Tribolium castaneum: one gene and its partner. Each later gene encodes a partner of the first gene's protein in a complex. Links are inferred from orthologs where the notes say so. Each region holds a gene or a part of one and is shown on either strand. Other genes may lie near its edges. The genes, in order: eIF3b and eIF3l.

Region 1 (11,546 bases):
GCAGCATCCGCAACAGAAAGGGATCATTATTTGGGATATAAGGTAATTTTTATCACATTTATTATCTTAATTTGTCGTTAAACATTTGGTATTTTGAATAAACTTTCTTTGTATTTTTTGTATGACATGACCAAATCATAAAAAAAATAATGTAAGTTACATACTCTGTCCGGCAAAGTATAAAACCAAACGTTTTTTTCTAATATTTCTACTTTACGAAAAAATAGTTAGCACATTATCAAGTCTATTAACAATGTGGTCATTTTTGAATTTTTTTTTACTTTTCGAGTTTTTGATTATTTTGGTTAAAGGTTATGCTTTAAAAAATTACTTGATTCAATGTGGTATTGTTTCTGATTGGGTGTTTTTTTTTTGCGAAATTGGCCAGAAAATAAAATTTCAGCGTACTTGCTTATACTAGTATTATTTTTTCGTAAGGTAAATAGTTTACGGAAAAACGCCCTGTATTTTGTTTAGTGATTATTTTGAAATACTTGACATTCTTCTACGTGATTTACCGCACTTGTGTGTTATTTTTACGTTTAACGAGTCTAGTGCGATAACTTTCTGTTAGTGTAATTTATGTTACGGTTGTGTATGAAGGAGCGTTTCATAAATTTTAAACTTCGAATATTTGCTGCTCGTTGAATATTTACATAAAGATCTACGTAAAATATTGCTCATCTTCCTGTTATAGTTTACGGTGTTTTTTAGTGTATTCTTTATAATTGAAACGTCAGAAAATCATGCAAATTGGAAATAATTTAATTATGGTTGATACTTTGACTCTATAAAAACTTATATTAAATGAACTAAATTTTTAATAATGCATTTTAGAAAAAGGAAAAAAATTATAATTTGTCCTCTGAAATTAATTAAATTTACAAAACTAGTTTGGAAGAGAAAGTAGGAGTGAATTAATTTTAGTTCAGATTGTTACCATATGTAAAGATCAGTGTAAATATTAAATAATAAATAAATGCCTTCAAAAGTTGTTAAAATGCTACCATAAAATACTGTGCGATTGTATAAAAATATAAAACGAAAAAAATTCGGGAAAGCATTTTAAAAATGATTAGACACATTCTGTATCATAATTTCCGACTGTCTATGTGTTGTAAAGAATCGCAGAATAAAATGTATCCATTTCTATGGCATATATTAGAAAAAAGCCAACACTTCAATAATTCAGTAAAAAAATTAGATTCACTGATACCAGAGCTGATACCATAAAACTGTCAATACCTTGATACTACGATATTTTCAATACCTCGATTCTTCCGGTACCTCAATACCAACGATACTTAGGTTAGTATTGATACCTTCAGGGTTTTTTTTTTCCAATAAATACTGAAACTTTTAGCATGCAATTGAACGAAACGCAATTCTAAGAGTGATTTTCCAAACCAGTGTATCTTTGTGGGGATGCCCCCAATCTTAATTTTTTTTTATATATTTGGATTACTGAAATGATTTCTACAATGCTTTGAACTGAGAATTCGCCAATTTTGAGACACCTGTAGAGGAAAAGTGTTAATGAATTGTCAGTTTAGTTTTTTTTTTTGCATAAAACCTATTTTTAACTTTGAATTTATTTGTTTCTCTAGATGATAATATGAACTCACACAATTGTCGGTATTATTTATTTATTTTTTAAACATTTTTTCAATGTGACGAGTTTTTCTCGTATTCTAAAATAAACCAGCAGGATGTACACTTTGAAACTAGATCCCTCAATTAGATCCTCCTCCTCAGAAATTAGTTATTATTTTATTTTAAACATTGTTTGTAACCTTGGTTTAAGGGTTGGAAAAAAAATAAACAAAGTTCTATAAAAATGTACTATTACATAGGCAATTCATATACAATATGCTCAAAATTCCTCATGAAAATTTTGTTCACTGTTTTTTAACAAAAAAATAAATTGGTCAAAACTAGAGGTTTTTTCTGTGTAGTTTTAAACGAAACAAACTTTTTTGCTAAGGTTTTCATCAAGTCACAATGTTTTTTACGAAATTTAGGGTTGTTTTCCGGTAAAAATAGAACTGTTGAATTTTTTAACAGTCTTCAAATGGGAATCCAAATATTGGAAATGGATATTTATTAATTTTTTTTAATCTGATTTTAATTTAACACTTATGTATACCCTGGTTACGTCTGTTATATTTGACGGAAATGCTGTACTTTAGACCCTCTATGTAGAGGGTGTTAGGGAATGGCTTAGCAATATTGTGTAAGTGAATTTGTCATGATCAGACGAGTTAAAAACCCTTATATAATTTTTCCAAAAGGTGCGTACTTTCTTTAAAAAAAAAATATTAACCCACCTGTTGAGAGCCACTGGGCTTATGGTAGTTTATTAGCGGTTATTATTATATTTTTTTTTTTCATTAAATAAGGCAACATTTTCATTTGTGCGGAAGGTTCGAATCCCGGTCTTGGCAAAAAAAATATTTTTTCGTAAACTTTAGTAACAAAACACAAATTGAAATAGAAGAATAACGTAGTGAACCAACAAGTTATTTTAGCTCAGCTGTTTTGCCAATATTATTAGAATTTACGCTAAATTTTATAATTCTAGTTCAGCGGTTCTCAAATTTTGAGAACAAAAGTTCAGAACAAATTCTTTGAAAAACCATGCATTTTTGATTTACATAAATTTACATAAATCTTTAAATTTTTGCTAAGCCATTACCTAACACTCTGTATTTAAATAATAATAAATCATTGGCATAACTAACCTGATCTTTGATTAAATTTACCGTTTCTTTCAATTTTTTCAAACAAAAAGTTACAAATTTTATTTACTAAATACTTAATGGTACAGTAGCAGATACGGAATTTTGAGCACTTCTGTCACTTCGTAGTCGAAAGGTATGGAGTATTCCATACGTTTAAGTCAACGAAATGTCATAGGCGTCCAAAATTTCGCGTCCGCCACTGCACATATTATTTGTATTATGTTCGAAGGTTGGCAGAACTGCACTGAAGTTAAATGTGGTATTACGTTAAAGCTTTGGATAAAACAAAAAAAAGTATGTCAATTTTTCACTTTCAAAATTGAGACATTACCAGTTGGCTTAAAAATCCCTAAATCGATTAAAATAACAAAAAGTGCAAAATGGGGACAAATTACACAAAACAGTATAAAAAAACTCGTTTCATAAAACCTTGAAGTACTTATTCTTTAAAACTGAATTCGTGCTTCAAGACTGGTTTTATGAAACTTGTTTTCTAATATACTATTTCCACACAGATATTTTTAAGCTTATTTTTTACAAATGTGAACCGTGTACACTTTAAAACCTGACTTTTTAGTAAAAAAAATTAAATGTCTAAACTCATGAGTTTATATAATTTTTTGAAAACACTTCTTAACTAATTGTTGCAGAACTGGCCAAGAAAAGCGTTCTTTCAACCCTGAAGGCCCCTCCTCATGGCCGATTTTCCGCTGGTCTCACGACGACAAATACTTCGGACGCGTGGGCAACGACGTCCTCTCCATCTACGAAACCCCCTCGTTCGGTCTCCTTGAGAAAAAATCAATCAAAATCAGCGGCATCCGCGACTTCAGCTGGTCGCCCACCGACAACATCGTCGCCTATTGGGTGGCAGAAGACAAAGACGTTCCAGCCAGCGTAACCCTCCTTGAAATCCCCAACCGCAACGAAATCCGCAAGAAGAACCTCTTCAACGTCGCCGATTGCAAAATCCACTGGCAAAAATCTGGCGATTATCTATGCGTCAAAGTCGACCGTTACTCGAAAGTTCGCAAAGAGAAAAATGAGACGAAGTACAGCGGAATGTACTGCAACTTCGAGATCTTCCACATGAGGGAAAAACAGATCCCGGTGGATAGCGTCGAGAGTAAGGAACCCATCCAGGCGTTCGCTTGGGAACCGGTCGGATCGAAGTTTGCGGTCATACATGGAGAATCGCCGAATATTAATGTCAGTTTTTACGAAGTGAGAGTGGGACAAGCCCCAATTCTGCTTAAAAAGTTCGAGAAAAGGGCGTGTAATCACCTGTTTTGGTCGCCCGGAGGCCAGTTTATTGTTTTGGCGGGGTTGGGATCGAATGGTGGTGGATCATTGGAGTTTGTTGATACGCACGAGTTTTTGGTTATGAATACGACGGATCATTTCCAAATGTCGGATGTCGAGTGGGATCCGACGGGAAGATACGTCACGACGTCCGTTTCGTACTGGAAAACCAAAGTTGATACAGGTGGGTTTTTGGCTTTTAAGCTTGATTTAGAAATTGATACCGAACCTCTGTAATTTGAAGTATTGTTGAATTGAATGAATTATTCTTGCGGGGGTTTTCCCAGATTATCGTTTTTTTTTTTGGGGGGGGGCATAGTAGAGAGGGGCAGTATATTTTGTTTGTTTTTTTGTTTATTACTACCAACGTTTTGCCAGTTTTTATGAGGGGGGCTTCTTTAGGGCAATAAATAATTAGCAAACCATTCGTGCAGAAACAACGAGGAGGGGAACTATTTTGTTTAACAATAAATAAATAAACCAAAATAAATTGCACTGTGTCTGTTATCCTAATAAATAATTAAATCTTACTCAAATTAAACTCACAACAGACGATGAACCGTGAATCAAAAAAACTAATAACATTTTTAACCAAATTTGGTTTTCAGCTTTTGGGTCAATTAACAAAATCCGTTATTTTCGAGGTGCTTTTCTAAACGAGCTCTCAGAAAATAAAAGAAAATTTTGAAAATTACTGAATAGGTCAATTTTTATTAACAAGGGGAGACTTTTTGGTGCACTTTTAAAGCACTTTCAAATACGAACACCCTAAAAAGATTGAAAAGCATGATCTCAATTGTGATTCCTCAAATGAAGGGTATGTTTACTAGAAAATTTGCTGTCTTGTTTTTGACTTTCAATTTTTTTTATTTTACATGTACTCTGAAAGTTATAATGAATAAACAAACTTGACAAATTTTTTGTCAAGTTACGTAAAGTATCATTAGGTGAATTAGTCACATGTTTAAAATTCAAAACATTTAACAAAAATGTTTATATTAAAATAGTATAAATCATAATTTTAAAATAAAACGACCTTTATATTAAAGGAAACAAGACAAAGTGGAGGCTAATAATTATAAAATTCATAACAAATACTATTCTACTTGAACATGGATACATGACATCTATTGGATAACTAAAGGTTACGGAAAACAAAATAAAAAATAATAAAATCATATAAACTAAAGATTAGTTTGAAAGATCCTAATCATGATATTTATGTCTTAAGGAAAATTGATTAAGCAATTAATAAAGTAAAACCGCGTCTTCTATCGAAGATTATAAAATAATAGAGGTAAAAAATTAAACAGATTTAAAATTTAAACGACTGAAAAAACGAGAGAAAGAAGTCGAGACACAAGCCAAACATTCATATTACGTAAAAAAAAGTGAAGATATGATCGAAGATTTAAATAAAATTTGATCATTTAGAACTTGTTGATTAAAAAATGGCCTTTATTGCAAATATGAAAGTTTCTGACATTGTAGAAAAAAGGAATGACCGAAATAAAGGTAAAATCGGATGGAGTGTTGTGTATATCTGTATTTTTGTATTTTCTATTGTGCTCGCGTTTTCGTGTTTCTGGATGCAATCCTTCATCAAAGAATTCAAGGCTTGCACATTTTAGTGTTTTATAGAAAATGGGTTATATTTTCAGCTTTTCTAGCTACACCCATTGCTAAGATTTTATTTAACTGCGCGTATGATTATTAATTATTATCTGAAAAGTAGGTGATTTTTTTGTTTTTTCATATTTTTTATTGTTCTTACAGATAAAATAGACATGTACAGCACTTATGTTTCGTATAAAATAATTACAAATTCATTAAAACAGACAAAAGAGGATCACAGAAAATAACAACATTGCATGGTTTGACGAAGACACATTTAACAGCGCCTGAGTTACCCTGAAAAAAGTTGGTAACTCGACACATTTCATCGGTCAAGTTTGTTTTAGGAGCTGTTAAATTGTAATTAAGCACTGGAATACGCCAAATCAAAGTTAATTTTGTTTTACCGTTAAACATTTTATTTGTTCAAGAGGCACCGCACTGTGCGGTGTTGAAATTTCACAAGCCTTTTCCTTAAAAAAGTTAATTGTTTTTGGCGCAATTTCGAGAAATTGTTGCATTTATTGCTGAAAAACATGTCTAAATTTTCGAAAAAATTGGGGTTTTTCTAAAATGGGCTGAAACATTAAGAAACAGAAGTAATGCATTTTTTGACATAAAATGGTGGTTTCTTTTCTAAAAAGGATAAAATTAACGCCACTTTAATGTAATTTTAACTAAAAATTGACTTAAAAAAGGGGAAATTCAGCAATTTTTTCGAATAATTTTTGACCCAAAATAATCACGTTTCTGACTGACACTTGAAATCAGAAAAATAATCTCATTTTTGATCTTATTTCGGCCCGGTTAATATACTTACATGCTTAAAAAACAAAAAGATAACACTCCTTTAGACATAACTTGGTGATTTTTTGGGTTTTTTATCGAACTAATAATTCCGGTTTTTGCTGAAAATGGTTCTAAATTTCTTTGAACACACGAAAATGACGTTTTTATCTAATTTAGGATTTTTTTTTGGATATGTTTATCAAAATATTACAGGAAAACTATGGATCAAAAAGCAAAAATAACACTTTGGCGATTTTTTGAATGATCTTAAACAACGCCTTGTGAAACAAAAACGTTCCAGACTAAAAAATGCACTGAATAACTAATTTTTCGTCCTTTTTTGTTGAAATTTAGCAAAAAACTTTATTTTACAATACAAGTATAAATTTTAAAAAATGTTAAAAAAATAATAACTCAGGTTGATGTTATTATGTTTTTTTTTTATAGATTCCGACACAAAAACATACAAATTTTAATTCATCTAAATCCTCTTAAAGTTAATCTAACTTAATTTACTTACAAGGACCTTTTTCGTTTATATTGAAAATTGGTCTACTTCGTGAACGATTTTGAGAATTAAATATTTTCATTTCAAAATCATTATCGGAGAATTTTTCTTTTCAGGTTATTGGATTTGGTCGTTCCAAGGAAAAATCCTGAAACGTGTTAATTTGGAAAAATTCGCCCAGTTGTTGTGGCGTCCACGACCTGCAACTTTATTGTCTGAAGAAAAGCAGAAAGAAATCAAAAAGAACCTCAAAAAGTATTATCCACAGTTTGAGAGCAAAGACAGAATGAGACAATCGAAAGCTTCAAAGGAACTTATCGAAAAACGTGCCGCTTTAATGAAGGAGTTTAACGAATACAGAAGTAAAAGGATTAAGGAATATAACGAGAATAAGCAAAGACGACTTCAACTTAGAAATAGTGAGTGTTTTAATTTGATTTTGTAGTTGTTAGTTACCCTGATTTTTTGCTGACACGCTGATTTGTAGTGTGGTTAGTTATACGCTCAGGGGAAATTAAAACATGTTTTTGCGTTCAGTTACAGTTTATTTAACTGCAAAAACATGTGACAATGTTTAATTCTAATTGTTTTGCAGTTTTTTTAACGCTTGATTTTTTCCAGATATTGATACCGATGAATTAGATGCCGACCCACAAAACGTAGAAGAAGAAATTGTAGAATTCTTTATTAAAGAGGAAACAACCATTTTGGACTAAGACAATTGAGGTTGAAGTGTTGGTTCCTGTGTGCATTCAACGTGTGCACGGGATTTATAGTGACTGTGAATTCATAAACAGCCTTAAATAAGAAAATTTACACCAATTTGTTGTGTTTTATCTTATTTAGTAGGTTCTCGTTCAATCTTTTTCTGTTGTCAGCTGCCATTATATTTTAATTTTTTATTCTATTTAGGTGGGTCAATTTTAACCATGTACGATACTAATCTCAACTGTCTGTTGGTTATTTGGAAAATAAATTTTCATATGACAAATGTTTTTTTTTCTCTTCCTAAACTCACCACAAGTGGCGACATCTAGCCTTTTCGTAACTTTATGATTTGTTGTCTAAGGACTATATAAAATTCTAGGTTCGTTCCAGCAGTGTTGTCATCAATTTTCTCATATACAAGTCTATAAAAATGTCAGCAGAAGTAGGGTCACTATGATTTACTAAGCAGTGGTGCATTGCTGCCAATATAAAAATGCTGTATCAAGTTGTCGGTGTGATCCGGGACACGTGCTGCTAAAGAAAATAATAAAACAAAATACATAAAAGGTTGATCGGTTTTATTGCGCGTAAAAGATACTTTTGGATACACGATATCCTTGTGTTGCACGATTTCGGAAAAATGTGTTTGTGGTGCGAGTTTGAGTGGTGGAAAATCGATGCGATTTGTTGTAAAATTGAATTTTGGCTGAAATTGTGATACATGGGGATGGAGGCATGACAGTATAAGCAGCACGTTTTTTATGCGCTTTTGTGAATTGGATGTATAATAATAAAATAAAGAGTCGAAAATGAGAGAATTTTAAAAAATTGGCAACTTAGCGCTCAATTTAAACAAATTAATGCCAATCTTCGAAATGTATGGTTGCTTCCTCCATAATTGCTATATGAACTGCCTTTTTTGATATTTTTGGAGCAAGATGTTTATTTTTGCCCGTAACTTATTTATACTTATCTAACTATTTATACAGCCTGTTTTTATTATTAAATTAAATTTTTATTATCAAATATTTCAACGATGCTGAATCTAATACTTACGTTATTATAATTACACAATATACGACGTTACAAAGTTATTTATCAGACTTATCACCAACAACTTTGTGACAAATTTTGTCACTTGTAAAGTTTTTTTTTAATATACTCTACAACATTTTGAAATTAATTTATTCTTGCTGTCTAATTTGGCACTCGCTATTTCTGTAATAAATTAACTGTTAAACATTTTATTTGCTTTAAAATGCCAACAAATGAATGTATTTTAAGCCCAAATAACTTTTCCTATGTTTGTGATAACATTATCATAGTAAACTAAAGCGATGAAGATGGTGAAGATTTAAAGATCTTATGAAAAGAGGTAGGTATATATCAACATTTTTATGATACTAAATATTTATGTTAGCCGATTTTTGGTGGTCTACATTACAACAAACGCTGATAGTATTAATTCGAGGCAGTCTGTGACATTTGTGATTTAGCAAAAATTATATTTTATAATCAATATTTAAAAACTTGACGTCCTAATTTTAGTAGTAATAAACTTATAGTTAATTATTCTAAAAGTAAATTTATAAGTCTGTAAAGCTAAAAGAAAGTCTGAAAAAACTAAATAGGTTTAGACTAAAAAACATTCATTGCATAGTTGAGAACTCGGCCGAGAATTAATAAATAGTAGATTATGTTATTATTAGTAAATGTTATGGCTGGTCGATACCTCTATTTAGGTATATACAAGGTGTATCAGAAATACGTGTGTTAATTTTACCACATACAACAACTTTTCTATACGGGGTGTTCCGTTTTTATTGTTACAAATTTAAACAGAAGATAGAACATTCAATTTTAAGACAGAAGTTTCCTATAAGCATGTATCGAAAAATATTTCGTAAGGGAGCTATTTGGTATTTTGGTATTTTATTCCTTGCTATTTTTCATACCGACTTTTCTTATGAACAAACAGCACAGAAAGAATTCCACCTGGTGATAATGACACATAATATTTTCAAACGATGTTTGTTTGTAGTTTAAAATCGATTCTATATTACAAATTCACCATCAAAAAACAATAAACGAATACAGTTCGAAAGTATCAAGTATCGAAGGTATCGAAGTATTGCAAGTATTGAAGTATCGGAAATTAAAAGTATGTATTTTGATATCTGCTAAAGTATCGATACTTTATGCAAAATTTTATCCAGCCGTAGTAAAAGTTATACTTTATGTGAGGAACCTTAACGTTTATTTTGCTGAGCCACATAAATTCACCTGTATTCCGACGACGCATACGTATTTAGATAAATTGATAAAGATCGAGAGAGTTTTTTTTAATACCTTGCTGTTGTTTGTGTCGCATAATGTGGATTCTCGGGAGTATATGTATATTCCCACACATACTGTCACATACTGTCTACACTTTGTTAAACATTCTTTGTATTCTCATACAGTACCTTGTAAAAGATCGTTTTTTATTCGTTTTAGTGTGAGGAAGTACAAATTACGTAGATTCGTAAAAGTAAAAATGCTTAGGCGCAAAAGTAAAACTTTTATCTGTGAGATTTTTTACCTCATCATTTCCACATCAGTGGAAATTTTTAGATTTGCAATTTGTGGTGAATGTAACATTTTAAATTAAAAAGATTGTCACTCAAGGAATAGGTTTTTCATATTTCGAGACGTTTGTGTACTTTTAACAAAGATTTGTTTATTTGTATTAATTGTTTATCGTTTGTGAGTTTTTTAGGTTTTTCAATTTCAGACTACTTCTTTATAGGAGTTTATTGCAACTGAAACTTTCTTTTTTAAAACAATTTTAATAAACATAAAACATTGTTGTAGTTTAAGCAACCTGGATTTTGTAGATAATCTAAAATTTAGGTCGAGCATTCATTCATAAACTTGAAAAAACTTAAAAATCTAAATTTAATAAAATCAATCACAATCAGAACTTAGTGAATTTTCAGAATTGAGTATCCGTTGAAATGAGTACCCGTTGCATTCGGATTTAGAACTTAAACTATTTTAGTTGCACCCGAAATTAAACTGAAAAGCCTAGTAGTACTGTATTCGAAATTTTAAAAAACCTTAACCGAGCAACTTAAAAATATGTAAAAAAAACTAGAAAATCGTAATCTAAAAAAATTAAAATTTTCAAGATTTTGAAGAACCAGAACTCAGAAATACAGGGTGTTTCACATAATTTTACGAGGCCAAGCCTATGTACATATTCCGATACGAACTGGACTACAACTTAAAAAAAATTGGATAGTCTTCTTTAGTTTGTTTATAGTTTGTTGATAGATAGATTAGAATCATATTCATTCCGTCTCTTGAAAGATCACATGATAACTGTTTCAGGAAAATAGCATTTTATGACTATTAATAAACCAGTCATTACTTATTAGTTTGACAACTACTGTTATGGGTTTCCAAAAATTAAATAATTAAATGCGAATTTTTTGTATACAATGTTTTGTGACTTTTGTATATTTGGGTTCGTACATTGGGCGCAGGCCTCGTAAAGTTATGTGAAACACCCTTTATTAGATTGATATACCAACTCGTATTTTCCGATTTATGACCAAAGTTTATTTTTTTAGTTTTAGTTTTTCCAGGTAAATTGCAGCAATTTTTAATATTCGGTGATTTTTATATGAATTAATTAAATTACTCCATTCGCAGTTCAGTTAATTAATGCGCAAATAATCTCGAACTAGCTAATCCAAATCCCTACTAAAAAATTAAAGAAACTTGAAACAAAATAATTAAAACATTCAAACACAAATAAACTGAAAGCCCGAAGGATTTGACCTGTAAACCTGAAAATCCTTTAAAAATGTATCTACATTTTTAAATAAAATTTTCTTTGT
Region 2 (12,330 bases), on another chromosome or scaffold:
TTTTAATTTAACTTGACGTTAATCAGTGCAAAATAAATGGCAACTTAATTGTATTTAATTTAATTCTGAATTAAATTTTAATTTCGCATTCTGTAAACTGACTCCTGAAGGATGTTACCAGCAGGAACTGGTTTATTGAGGCGTAATTTTCACTTTGTTCGACTGTAATTTTGGTTCAACTACTTTAGTGTTTGGAAGTCATATAATTTCTTATAAAAAATTGAAATTGAACATTTTGTGGACGGTTCTGGACCTAAATAATGATATTTGAGTACTTGACGATTTCATTAATTAAATAACTATTTTATAACTTTAGGCTAAATACTGAAATTTTGGGGGCGATGCTGCACCAGGCTTGCTACCACAAAAACTTCCCCTACGTACTTGAAATAATGGAAATTAGTTTGCGAGAGAACGTGAAGCCGAATAAGAAGTTTATGGAATGTTTGCACGATTTTAAAAAGAAGTGCAAAGATATCTCAAATGATAAGGTGATTATTTTTCCATTCAAGATTTTATCACTTAAGCCACTTCAGATTTACTGTCATTGCAATTTTAATTTGTAGGAAAATACATTATCGCAAAGTGGATTTTTCCAAAAGGGATTTAGAATATTCCAGATGAGGTACAAGACGTGGCTGGATGAGGTTGAAGTTGATGATAGTGAAGACGTCCATCCTTGGGCCCAGTTCAGACAGACAAGTGATACAGACAGTAGGCATTACAAGGATAAATCACAGAGGTTTAAAGCCAGACATTTGTCACGATTTAAAGTCAAAACATCAACGAAACGTAAAGGAAACGAACGTTAAATTGTACCTTGTGCTATTTCTTCAGACATGTTGAAATAAAGTCACGAAGCTGTGGTAGCACTGAGGTATGTAGTCACGTGTTAGCATATGCAGAATACATAATCAGCAGAGCGCATGAGTAATTTTGTACCGTGATTTTTATCTACTACTTATTAGATTATTAAAAAAGTTAATTAAAATTTGCAGTTACGTGTTTTGACCAATTCTAATTGCAAATGACTCATGTTTTATTTATCTCTTTGCCACTGTTTTCGAATCGAATGGAACGCACTTATTTCATAAAAAATAAAATATACTCACTTCTGAGCGCAAAAAATTTTAAAATATCTTTTATGCGCATGTGTTGATTAAGACGTGAAACTAACTTGCAATACTTGTTCATTGAGCGAATTTTACACAAATTAGAACTGTGACTACATGAGCAATGCTAAATCATTGTCAAATGCAACATTTTTACAATAAGTGATAAGAGAATTTTTACAATAAAAATTTCGCATTCAAGTATTAAGTCACAACTACGAGTGATTGCTGCTGCTGATAACAAAGCCTCGAATTTTTTCTATGTATTTTTCGGAAACAAGACGGTGTTTCTTTATACAAAAAATGTTTCTCTAAATAAAGTTTCAAAACGGAAAATTTTAAATCTAAGCAAATGAATCAAAATTGTGCGTTGCTAAGGCATTCTATTTCAACTTAATTTTTTTTTGTAATAGTTATTTATTTAATGAGTTTGAGTGTAAATCGGACGCTTTATTTCACGAGTGGATTTTTAAACCACGAGTGAAAACGAGTGGTTTATCATCCACGAGGCGAAATAAATGAACCGATTTACACAAAAACGAGTTGAATACAACATTTTATTCTTCGAAATAGACTCAGCAAGGCTTAAAATTGCTTTAAATTTGTTAAAAATAATCTGACGTTTCGTACTGAGAAATGCCAAACAGTTGTCAAAACTTCCTTACACAGGAGAAAAACCGTAAATTTTGACAGTGTCGAAGAATAAAATAAATTAATCGATTCGGTTACAAATATTTAATATAAAGTTAAACTAATCTGTGAGGGAAAAGGAAACAATTTTGTTTATTATTTTTTATAAAAGTCTAATTTTGCGTTCACGCTTTTGTTGAGAAATAATTTTCTCACTAGTGTTTCCAAAAAGTTAGAAAAATATTAAGTAATAAACTATTTATCCATTTCAGTTGCAAACGAATAATAAACTGAATATAAATGCCTAATTAAACTCAATGATACTTAAAAGATAAAAGAGGTTTAATTGATTTATCTTGCATCAATAAAAAACTTTGTTAAATGATAGTGATCAAAGATAAGGTGAAATTTTTAATACCTGTTCCAAATTTGTATAGACAAAGGTGACTGAGGTGGCTAAGGAAAAAAAGAAAAGTACAGTTATTTTAAGCAATTTTATTCGTTGAGTGCAAAAATTACACCGAATTCTACATTAGAATTTAAGATTGTGAAGCTTCCTGTTCAAATCCTCAAACTTGAGAATTTTCCTTATAAAGAAATCGCCGTATCTGTGCGCCACTTTCGTGTCGGCGATATGAATCATATCATTATCGATGTAGAAATCCAGCTGAAATATTTTTTTACGAAACAAAACCAAAAATTACAAAATGTTACCTCTGAGCCACTCTCCAGCTTCCCTTCCAGCCCCGACGAGCCCTTCGACCACACCACATTCTTCATTTTGTGCTTGAAGCACAACAAATGAATCAAAAGATTCTGCGTCTCCTTATCAACATCAAACTTCCCTTCACTGTTCTTATTCTGCGCCATGAAAGTCGCCAACTTGGCAATGGGCAAAGTGGTGTACAACTTCAAGTAACTTCTAATCGTTGGCAACATTTTTTGTTGCTGGACCTCGTCCATAAAAACTTGAGTTTGGTGGCGGATCGCCTCCTTCGAATAATCATCAGGGATGGAATCCACCGGCGGAGGACACGGCGAAAGAAACTTAGGACAAGCGAAAACGAAACAATTTTCAAACTCCTGGAGGTCCCCATACTGCATCTTGTACATTTTCTCATGGTAGCTTTTCTCTCTCAGAGTTTGCTGGATCGATTCGTCGATACACTGCGGGTGCAAAACCAAGCAAATGGCCAACAAGTGGTACATCTGATCCGTTTGCTTGTTAATCTGGTCGTGCTGATAACTTTTAGAAGCAAACAATTGCTTGGTTCTCTGAATGTACAAGAGAATGGACGAAAACGTGCGAATTGCGTCAGAATAGCGCCTCATCATCATGTACCCAAACCCCACATAGTACGACGTTGAGATCAAGCAAGCCGGGATGTGCGCATACTGCGACTTCTTATGCAGCTCAATGTTTTCCAGCACTTTGATCGACTGGTAGTAGTCCCCGAGCAGAGAGTGAAGCCTCAGAAGCCCAATCAGGGAAAAATAGCCCAACATTTTGTAGAGCGAGTGACTCCCGAACTCGCCGGCCACCGAATCGGGGTCGCCCCCACTGGCGCAAACCTCCAGTTGTTGCTTGATGTTGCTCTTGTCGACCAGAGAATGCAACACGTTCAGAACGCAAAGTACGTTCCACACTTTATTGTGCGAGTTTAGAGTCTCCAGTTCTTGGGCGGTTTTCTTCTGAAGGCGGGCCCGGTATTGGGCGAATGATTGGAATTGGTAGACGAATTCGTCGATTAATTCCCATAGCCACAAGTCGGGGAGTTCTAGAGGCACCGGTTCGTCAGCGCTTAGGATGTAGTTGAAGAGGTCGCAGTAATTGTAGAACGAATTGAAGCGCTGCTCGAGGGTTGGGCCCCCTTGAATGCGCGCGTAAATGTGGCGGAAGTAGAGCTCTTTGTACAGGATCATGAACACCTGCAAGAAGGGTTGCATAGGATATTTCCCGCAAGAAGTAAGTGAAAATAATAATTTTCACGTATTTGTAATCATTGAACCCAAAAAATTAATAATTAATAATGGTAGAGAATTCTATACGTGAACAAAATCAAGCGTTTTCAAATTGGAAGTTATGTTCCTATAAATAGTGTCAAATAACTGAAATACAATTCAAAAATTATATATAGGTTTGGGACAAAATATTAATTGTTAAACGTACGTAATTTAATTTCCCAAGAATGGTGTTCCTTTTTTTGATGACTGTTAGTTGTTTTTTTATTTTGGTTAAAGTTTTCATGTTATAATAAAATTGTTACGTAAGATAAATTTTTGTGTCCCGTCCGTAATCTCACTACTTTTTATATACAGGGTGCTCAAAAACTGGCGCACCAACTCAGTGGTACGTTATTGAGAAGCAAGTGCAGATTACGGGAAAAATGTTGAATAAATTTCTAAAGTTATATTTTAAAAAATCTGGAGCTACAAACTTATTGTGTTAACTTCTTTAGTTTTCATTATTTTTTTATATTTCTATGTTTCATACCAGGTTATCGTTCCGTAACAATACAATGAATAATTATTTTAAAATTTACTATCAGATTTTAGCAGTTTTTTTAATTAAAAAAAATTAAAACTCATCCAAAAAATCACAATGTGTAGATGTGCCAACACTGGGAATTATTTCCTAGGAAACCGTTTCAAAAATAATTTATTTTTATTGTTGCTCAAATTCTATTGCAATCATGACTGTTAGACAACGTTGCCACATATCATTTACCTAAAATTAGTTATTTATCAATAACAGTAATACAAAGATTTTTTTTACTATTTTTACCTTTATATGTAACCAGTTCTCTACCACACACCACTGAGTTGGTGCGCCAGTTTTTGAGCACGCTGTATTTGGTATACACTCCCTCAGTATTACCTGAATCCGTAAAAAAATCATTCATAATATTTCTATTATGAGTAAATATTTTTGTTCTTTCGAAAATATTCACAGATTTTTATACTTATTTTAAACTCAATTTTTATTAGGCGAATACGCGTCCAGTCGGTAATCAATTACTTATAACGATTTTCATTTCAATTAATTTCATCACTTTAAATATTACTATCTTTTTGAAAAAGATAGGCCATTTGAAAATAGAAGTTGACAGAAATATGATTAGTAGATTGTGGAGGTAGTTCCTGGTTAATTTAGTTCATTACATGTTTTTTTTTTTGTTAACTAAATGACTGATTAACGATTTTACTTATTTATGCAACAAAATTCTGTACCTAGGTTTAATTTAAACATTGTTTTTAGGAAAATGCTTGAGGTACCGTCTATTTATTACGATTTATCACTGATTTTCTTATATTTTTAAAAGCATATTTTATTTTTCAAAAGAGAGACGAACAGTTGAATAGTTTTCCCGTTGAGATCTCAATTTATTTATCTTATCATGAGTTTTTAAGGACAACAAATAATCTACTTTGAAGATTCTCACGATTTTTTTGGGCCTAATTAAGACTTTGTATTCAAATTTTCGTTGGTAAATACTCAAAGTTAATTCTTTAGTAAATTGTGAAGACAGTTCTGTTAATTCAGTTGATTATAACATAATTTTTTTTGTTTATGCAATTTACTTGGTTAAGCGTTTTACTTATTTATAGAACAAAAATTCGTTTAATAAGCAAATTTTATGATTTATTTCAAGAAGTCTCAAGCCTCGAGAAAAAATATTATTGGAAATGTATTTGTCTATTATTGACTTTGGTATACTCCTAATTCAAAAAAATGTAGGAAAAAGCTGTTTTATTTATTTTGAAATCGATTACCTTTAAATGAAATGAAATTTAGAATTTCGTCGAAACTGTATAGTATTAGAAAAGATATGACCTTGTAAGCACCTTATTCAAAGTTTATTTTTTGTCGTTAAATCTATTTTTATTTTATTTATTTATTTTTATTTATTTTAATATTATTCATCGCATTATTAAAGTCCAAAACCAAAAGTCGTATTTATTATTATTTTAAACCAATTTTTTTCGCCCATGCTGCGTAAATAAATATTTAAGCAAAAACTTTACAATCAATAGACATCAAAGAATCATAGATATTGAGCGATTTCTTTGTAATTAGGTCGCTTCTGACGTGTCCTTTTGCTAAAGACATAATAAAACCCATTTATGTTCATTTTTCCCTGCTACTGCTTCCAACAGTCGCAATGGAGCATTACAAAAGGCAACTCCTGAGCAAAAAAGAAGAGCTCAAAGAGAAAATCTCTGAAGAACTCAAAGACAAAAGTGAACACGTTAGGGAGAAAATCAAGGACGTCCAAGACATTGGCACAGAAGGTAAAATAATTGATCACGTAAAGGAAAAAATTAAGGATGTCCAGGAGAGTGAAACTGGGGGTAAAATACTAGACCAAGTGAAAGACAAAATCGAGGCGGAAGGTAAAATAGTCATGGATTTACTCACGGGATCACTGTCGACTAGCGCTGACACTTCTGACTCTTCTGGCCAGGGGCGTTTCTCGAAATAATCTTCGGTTAGTTTTGGCCACGAAGTTTCATACAAAGTTTGCAACTCAAAGATTAAACCCTCATTCACGCAATTGCGGAAATAGATTAGGAAGTTTTTGACTATTTCCGGCATCTTTAGGTGCTGTTTATTGTACTCGTTGTCCAAGTTGGGGTCTCCTGTGTGAGCCCCATACTCATCATAGCTGTTGTATTCATAACCCTGAAATAAATGAAAATCAGTGTCCAATTTATTGTCAATTTTGCTGCCACGAATTATGGGAATGGTGCATGCTAAACATGTAGGTCGGTATTATTTCCACACTTTTACAAATAGGCTTGAGACACATGGTTCAATTTGCAAAGCTTTTACTAGAGTTTTATAGAACCCAGTGTAGGTTTAAGGATAAATTGTTCAAGTTTTAGGTGTTTGAAGCACTCACTTGCTCATAATCGTCGGAAAACATTTTGAATTTACTCATTATATGCCTACGCCACTATAGCGAGCAAATGGTCTTGCACTTAACCTCGAAGCCAGTTGACGTTTGACAATTACAAATTACAGGTTTCTACTCGAGGTGGTGCAAGAAATTCCATTTTTTTCTCATTTTCAAAAGTATTTCCGCTGAGTAAGTGAGAAAAATGTTTTAAAATAAAACGATCAATAAACATGATGTTAATCTAAATGCAAATTTACTGAGCCGGTGATTTAACCTCATTCCCCAATTGCTCGTTCGAACAAACCTTGAACTATGAAATCACAAATTTCTTAAATAAAACACAATGATCGGTAGTCAATCTCAGTGAGTGATTAGTGTTCGTAACCGTATGAATAGATATTAAGTAATAAAATGTTTGCCCAAGGATTTACAAGTGGTAATCCCCTGCTTTGTGATGGTACAAATATTATTCTTCATTTTGCAGTTTTACGTAGCTTCCTCAGTTCAGAACCCGCCCCAACCAAAGTGATTGACGCCAAATCAGACGCTTTTTCCGACCGAGCGATTCACCTACGGGAAGATGGATTGGTCCTCTACCTCCCAGCTAATACAGTTGACAAGAAAAAAGGGGCCACTTACGAAATTGTGCTCCATCGCCCGTACACGGAAAGCCTACACCAAACCTACAGGTTTGTGCCCCCGAACACGTCAACTGTTAAAAAAATCAATTTTTAGTTTATACCGCTCGCCAAATCTTGACGAAGCTGAAGTGAAATTTTGTGTCTTGAAGGATAAGTTACCCACGTTTGTTGAGATTTCGAAAGAAGTAATTTGCTGTAGTTGTTAAAAGACGATTATTTGGAATTTTATTTCAGATGTATAATGTGCAAGGTTTGCAAAAGATTTGTGACGTTCTTGCGGAACACCCCTCTTGGAACTTGGCCCATTTGGCGGCGTATTTTAGTCTCTATGATTCTTTTAAAGACTCTAAGATTAACAATTATTTGAATAGTACTGATGATGAAACTGGGATCTCGCCACTACAAGTTGCTATTACCACGAAGAATTTGAAGACGGTGCAAGTTTTGGTTGCTGCGAATGCGTCTTTGGAACATCTCGATTACAACTCTGATTCGGTGTTCCATTACGCCGCTAGCACCACCAAAGATATCATTGCCGTAAGTATTGAATTGTGCAAAATTAGATACGGAAAAGTTGTACATAAGGAATTCTAAAGATTTTTTTCTGACGATTTTAAATACCTTTTTTTAGTTTAACATTTGTAAAGGCCTTGGTCATTTCCATTGAGCATTGTTTCGTTTGTGTTATGTGGAAAATATCAAATATTACACTAGAGTATAGAAAAATTCCATTGAACTAGTAAATAATAAAAAACGAGAACACATTTATAAAGTTCATAGGTCAAACGTTGACATTTTATTTACGAGATGTTTATTTCTATTAAAACCTACTAGAGACAAACAAAGTTATCAGTTTACCTAATAAGTAATCACTAGTTTTAGGGAACCTAATTTTATCAATGAATGGATTGTACTCGTATTACAAATAAGGACATTATTGGAAAAACAATTAATAGGCATTGCTTTAACGTTTCCAACGAGTGTTTCAGGTTACTCGTAAAATGTGACAATATGGGTTGGTTTAAGAACATTTTAATTAATTTTAAAGTACAACATTAATAAAAAATAAATGAACAAATAAATAAATAGCGAAATGAACATTTATTCAAGAATTTTTTATTGTTTAAAATTTTATTTAAAAAATCCTAATATCATCCGTTACTTTTCTATCAAACTTCCGATTTAGAAGGCCTTTGAACAAATTCGGTTTTTTAATTTTTAGACAACACTGCTTTAATTAGCTATATTGTAGGAATATGTTTTTGTAAAATGCTAAAACAAGTTTGCATTTTTTATAAGAATGGTGCACGGACAATTTTTTGAGTAATACTTTTCTCATGAGTAACAGTAAAGAAAATTACTGAAAATTTTTTTGTTAAAGACGTTTTTCTCTTATTTCAATTTGTTTTTGTAAACTTTTCAGACGATTTTGAAGCAAATTTTTACTTTCTTGAAGCTAGCTAATTTTGAAAGTGGAACTTAGTCTTTTAACGATGTGAGTGAATCAAGTAGTTGAAAAGGCTACTAAAAACTATTTATACTAGAGAGTAATTCAAGTCTTGTTTACCAAATTTATAGAATCAATTGAGAAAATCAAGATATTAATATTTTTAGACATTGAGATAATTGAATTGCTTTCGATGTAAGCACATTTTTTTATAATTTGAAAGTGCAAACTACGATTAGAGATAAATAAGTTTTTCTATAGAAGTGGTTTTGACGTTGAAAACGAATAGAATTCACGTAGAAGTAGAACGATTTTTCATTTTCTCTGTTGATTCTAAAAATTTGGCAACAACTTGAATCCGTCTGTATTTACAGAGTGAAACAAAGCTTTGGAACAAAGCGTTTCTTGCTTAAACTCCGTAGACTGAAGAATACAAATAAATGTAAAATCTGTTTAAAAAAATAATTTTGTAATAAAGTAAATAAATAAATAATAGTTTTCATACACAGTACTATAAAATTAAATAAATCAATATAACAAAACCAATCTGAAAAATTATAAATATCTTTGGTGAAAAAATCATTTTCCACTCTCCGAATATTTCATGAAAGTACGTCATTTCCCACCTACGACCCTCATTTTCCTCTCTCGGGAGGAAATAACGTTCTATCATAGAATATTTGGAAGGTGAAAAAAATAATTTTTGATGAAGACGCCAAAAAAAACATATATAGCACTGGAGAAAGCGCCTTTTTTCTCCCTTTAAATATTAATTCATCTTCGGGGAAGAATCGATGTTTTTCCTGTCTTGGTATATAAATAGTTATTTCATTGGATTTGATTCTCATGAAAAATCAAGCGTAACTCCAACAATAATTTGTATAAAAATTATTTGATTATTTAAAAATCAAATGAAAACTTCTTCTTTAGCCTTTTCTTTTCTTTTTTATTAAAGAATACAATTTTTTGAGATTTTTGAGAGATTGTTTATGACTTACTGTCATTTTTATAATACTGTACTTATTATTCGTTCACGATTGTTTTAAATTCTCAGCAGGCCTAGATATATTTTTCTTAGGTTGGCCTCAGGTCCTGTCAGGTACTGTCTTTATGACGTTGTCTTGTCAAAAATTCGCTGTGTTGTCAGTTCTACTGCTTATTAATTTAAAATGTCGAAAATAATTTTTGTTGATAAGAAAGTTTGTATCAAAAGATGCTTTGAAGGATGCAAGAAAGACAGACCCGACTTTTTTAACTAATGATACTGAGTAGAATTACAATAAAAACGTGTTCAATTATTTATTTAAAAAACGAAGCAAACTGACAACAGTCCTTGGTTGTCATCAATTATAACCCAAAATAAATTTCTTATGACAACTCACAGTACTGCCAAATAAAATGTCAGATTTTCATAGATAGTCCGAATTTAAAACAATCGTGAACGGTGTATATTTTTTCATCATTTAAACGTTAGCTTTTTTCGTCCAGACTTATTATGTAGTTTAATCTAGGACAACAAATATTCAAAGTATTTATCAATTTTTAATACAGACCCGTAGTTATATTCCTTCATTTTTCAAGTTCTTTCCAAGAATTTTTGTTAAGAAAATAGTTCAGAATAGTAAATCTAGTTCCACATCAATTTAGAGACACAATTAATTGATCTATCGTAAAATTTACAATGTTCCTCGCTGTAATTTTAGGGCCTTTCTTTGGTTCGATGAAATGTTACACAAACTTAAAAAAAATTAATTGAATTTTAACGTATTATAAAAATAAAATATATAAATGCAAAAATGTTCCATAAATAAACTTTGTGGATTTTTATTTCTGTAGTTATTTAATCACAAGTGATTATCTAGCACAAATAATTAATTCATAAAAAAACAAAATAGGTAACGCAAAAAACACTAAACTTTACTAACACTTTACGTTGTAAATATCAGATTCTAGTTTTAAATAACACAATTAAATTTTTTTAATTATTACTTAATGTTTTATTATCACTGTTTCGTTACAAAAGTTGAATAAAGAATTGAAACGAAATACTACAGGGTGTAACATTTTCAGGCGTTGACGCAAGGCAGCCCCCCAAACTGCTTAAACGCCCGCAACAAAAACGGCTACACACCACTGCACCTTGCCTGCCAAGCGGACAAACCCGACTGCGTCCGAGCCCTCCTTCTGGCCGGAGCCGACGTAAACAAAACCTCAGGTCTAATAGACGACAACGTCCTACCCGGCTACGTTGGCGACTACCTCCAAAGCCACCCCAACAGCCTCCACAAGGAGGACATGAAAATGGGGGGCACCCCTTTACACTGGGCCTGTTCCCGCGAAGTAATCGAAGCTCTAGTCGACATGAACTGCCACATAGACTCTCTAAACTTCGACAAAAAAACCGCTTTGCACATCATGGTCATGAGAAATCGCCTCGAATGCGTTGTAGCTTTACTGAGTCGGCAAGCAGACGCAAATATCGGCGATGCCGAAGGCAACCGACCGATTCATTTAGCTGTGAAACAAGGCAACATATCGATAATCCAGTGCTTGATTATTTTCGGCGTCGATTTGAATATTTTGAACAATGCCGGGCATTCGCCCAGACATGTTATAACAAAGGAGCAAGAGCCGAAAATCTTGTATTACTTGCACGCCGTGGGGGCGCAGCGGTGCCCCCCTGGCACGCCCTACTGCACCGACGGGTGCGTGCATGGGGGCACCTTCGACGGGGTTCCACCGCCCCCGGTGATCGGCCCCACTAACCGTGACGTTCTGAACCAAATGCTCGATGTAGCAGCGATGGAAATCGCCTCAAAAAAACACAAAGATGGGAAAATGCCCAAAAATGGGCGGCTCCTGTGCATGGACGGGGGCGGAATTCGGGGCCTAGTTCTGGTGGAAATGCTGCTAGAAATTGAAAATGTTTTACAGAAACCTGTAAGTCATTGTTTCGATTGGATTGCGGGAACTAGCACTGGGGGGATTCTGGCACTGGGGATTGCGAGTGGTAAAACCATGAAGGAGTGTCTGTGTTTGTATTTTCGGATTAAGGAGCTGACGTTTGTGGGGATCAGGCCGTATGCTAGTGAGCCGCTGGAGAATGTTTTGAAGGAAACGTTCGGGGCCGAGACTGTGATGGCGGATATTACGCATCCGAAGGTGATGGTTACGGGGGTGCTGGCTGATAGAAAACCGGTGGAGTTGCACTTGTTTAGGAATTATCAAAGTCCGAGCGATATTTTGCAAGTGGAGCATAATTCGCCGTATGAGTTGCCGCCACCGCCCGAAGAACAGTATGTGTGGCAGGTTGGGAGGGCCACAGGGGCTGCTCCCACTTATTTCAGGTCAGTGTTTTTACAAACTTTAATTCTCAATTTTTTACGTGCTAAAATAATACGAAAAGCGATTTTTTGGGTTTCGCGTTTGTCGTAAAAAGTCTACCCAAAGTCTGACTTGTGAATTTTTTTTTTATTTTTGTGAAACTAAAACTGGGTAAATTTTGTGTTTACATCCCTATACCTTCTTTCTGGATAAATCTTGAAGCTTAATTTTTTTGCAAGAGGTCAATGAATGCAGATTTTAACGTACACACAACT

What was found.
Region 2: eIF3b (region 1) and eIF3l share a complex: the UniProt entries of both Caenorhabditis elegans proteins name them as parts of the eukaryotic translation initiation factor 3 (eIF-3) complex. The link is inferred for Tribolium castaneum from reciprocal best matches to the Caenorhabditis elegans genes eif-3.B and eif-3.L.

The regions. Positions count from the first base shown.
Region 1 is NC_087399.1:10,625,078-10,636,623, forward strand, and holds the end of eIF3b (eukaryotic translation initiation factor 3 subunit B), read left to right. Parts: coding exon 1-42; intron 43-3,391; coding exon 3,392-4,227; intron 4,228-7,070; coding exon 7,071-7,373; intron 7,374-7,575; coding exon 7,576-7,670; 3' UTR 7,671-7,945; downstream 7,946-11,546. UniProt on the Caenorhabditis elegans protein: RNA-binding component of the eukaryotic translation initiation factor 3 (eIF-3) complex, which is involved in protein synthesis of a specialized repertoire of mRNAs and, together with other initiation factors, stimulates binding of mRNA and methionyl-tRNAi to the 40S ribosome.
Region 2 is NC_087394.1:32,522,631-32,534,960, forward strand, and holds eIF3l (eukaryotic translation initiation factor 3 subunit L), read right to left. Parts: upstream 6,770-12,330; 5' UTR 6,686-6,769; coding exon 6,647-6,685; intron 6,510-6,646; coding exon of another isoform or gene 6,482-6,509; exon of another isoform or gene 6,427-6,481; coding exon 6,163-6,426; intron 6,036-6,162; coding exon of another isoform or gene 5,906-6,035; exon of another isoform or gene 5,651-5,905; intron 3,672-5,650; coding exon 2,457-3,671; intron 2,410-2,456; coding exon 2,275-2,409; 3' UTR 2,223-2,274; downstream 1-2,222. Other genes in the region: pentatricopeptide repeat-containing protein 1, mitochondrial, read left to right, coding at 317-491, 567-812; iPLA2-VIA (85/88 kDa calcium-independent phospholipase A2), read left to right, coding at 5,906-6,035, 7,128-7,332, 7,379-7,469, 7,519-7,821, 10,802-12,078. UniProt on the Caenorhabditis elegans protein: Component of the eukaryotic translation initiation factor 3 (eIF-3) complex, which is involved in protein synthesis of a specialized repertoire of mRNAs and, together with other initiation factors, stimulates binding of mRNA and methionyl-tRNAi to the 40S ribosome.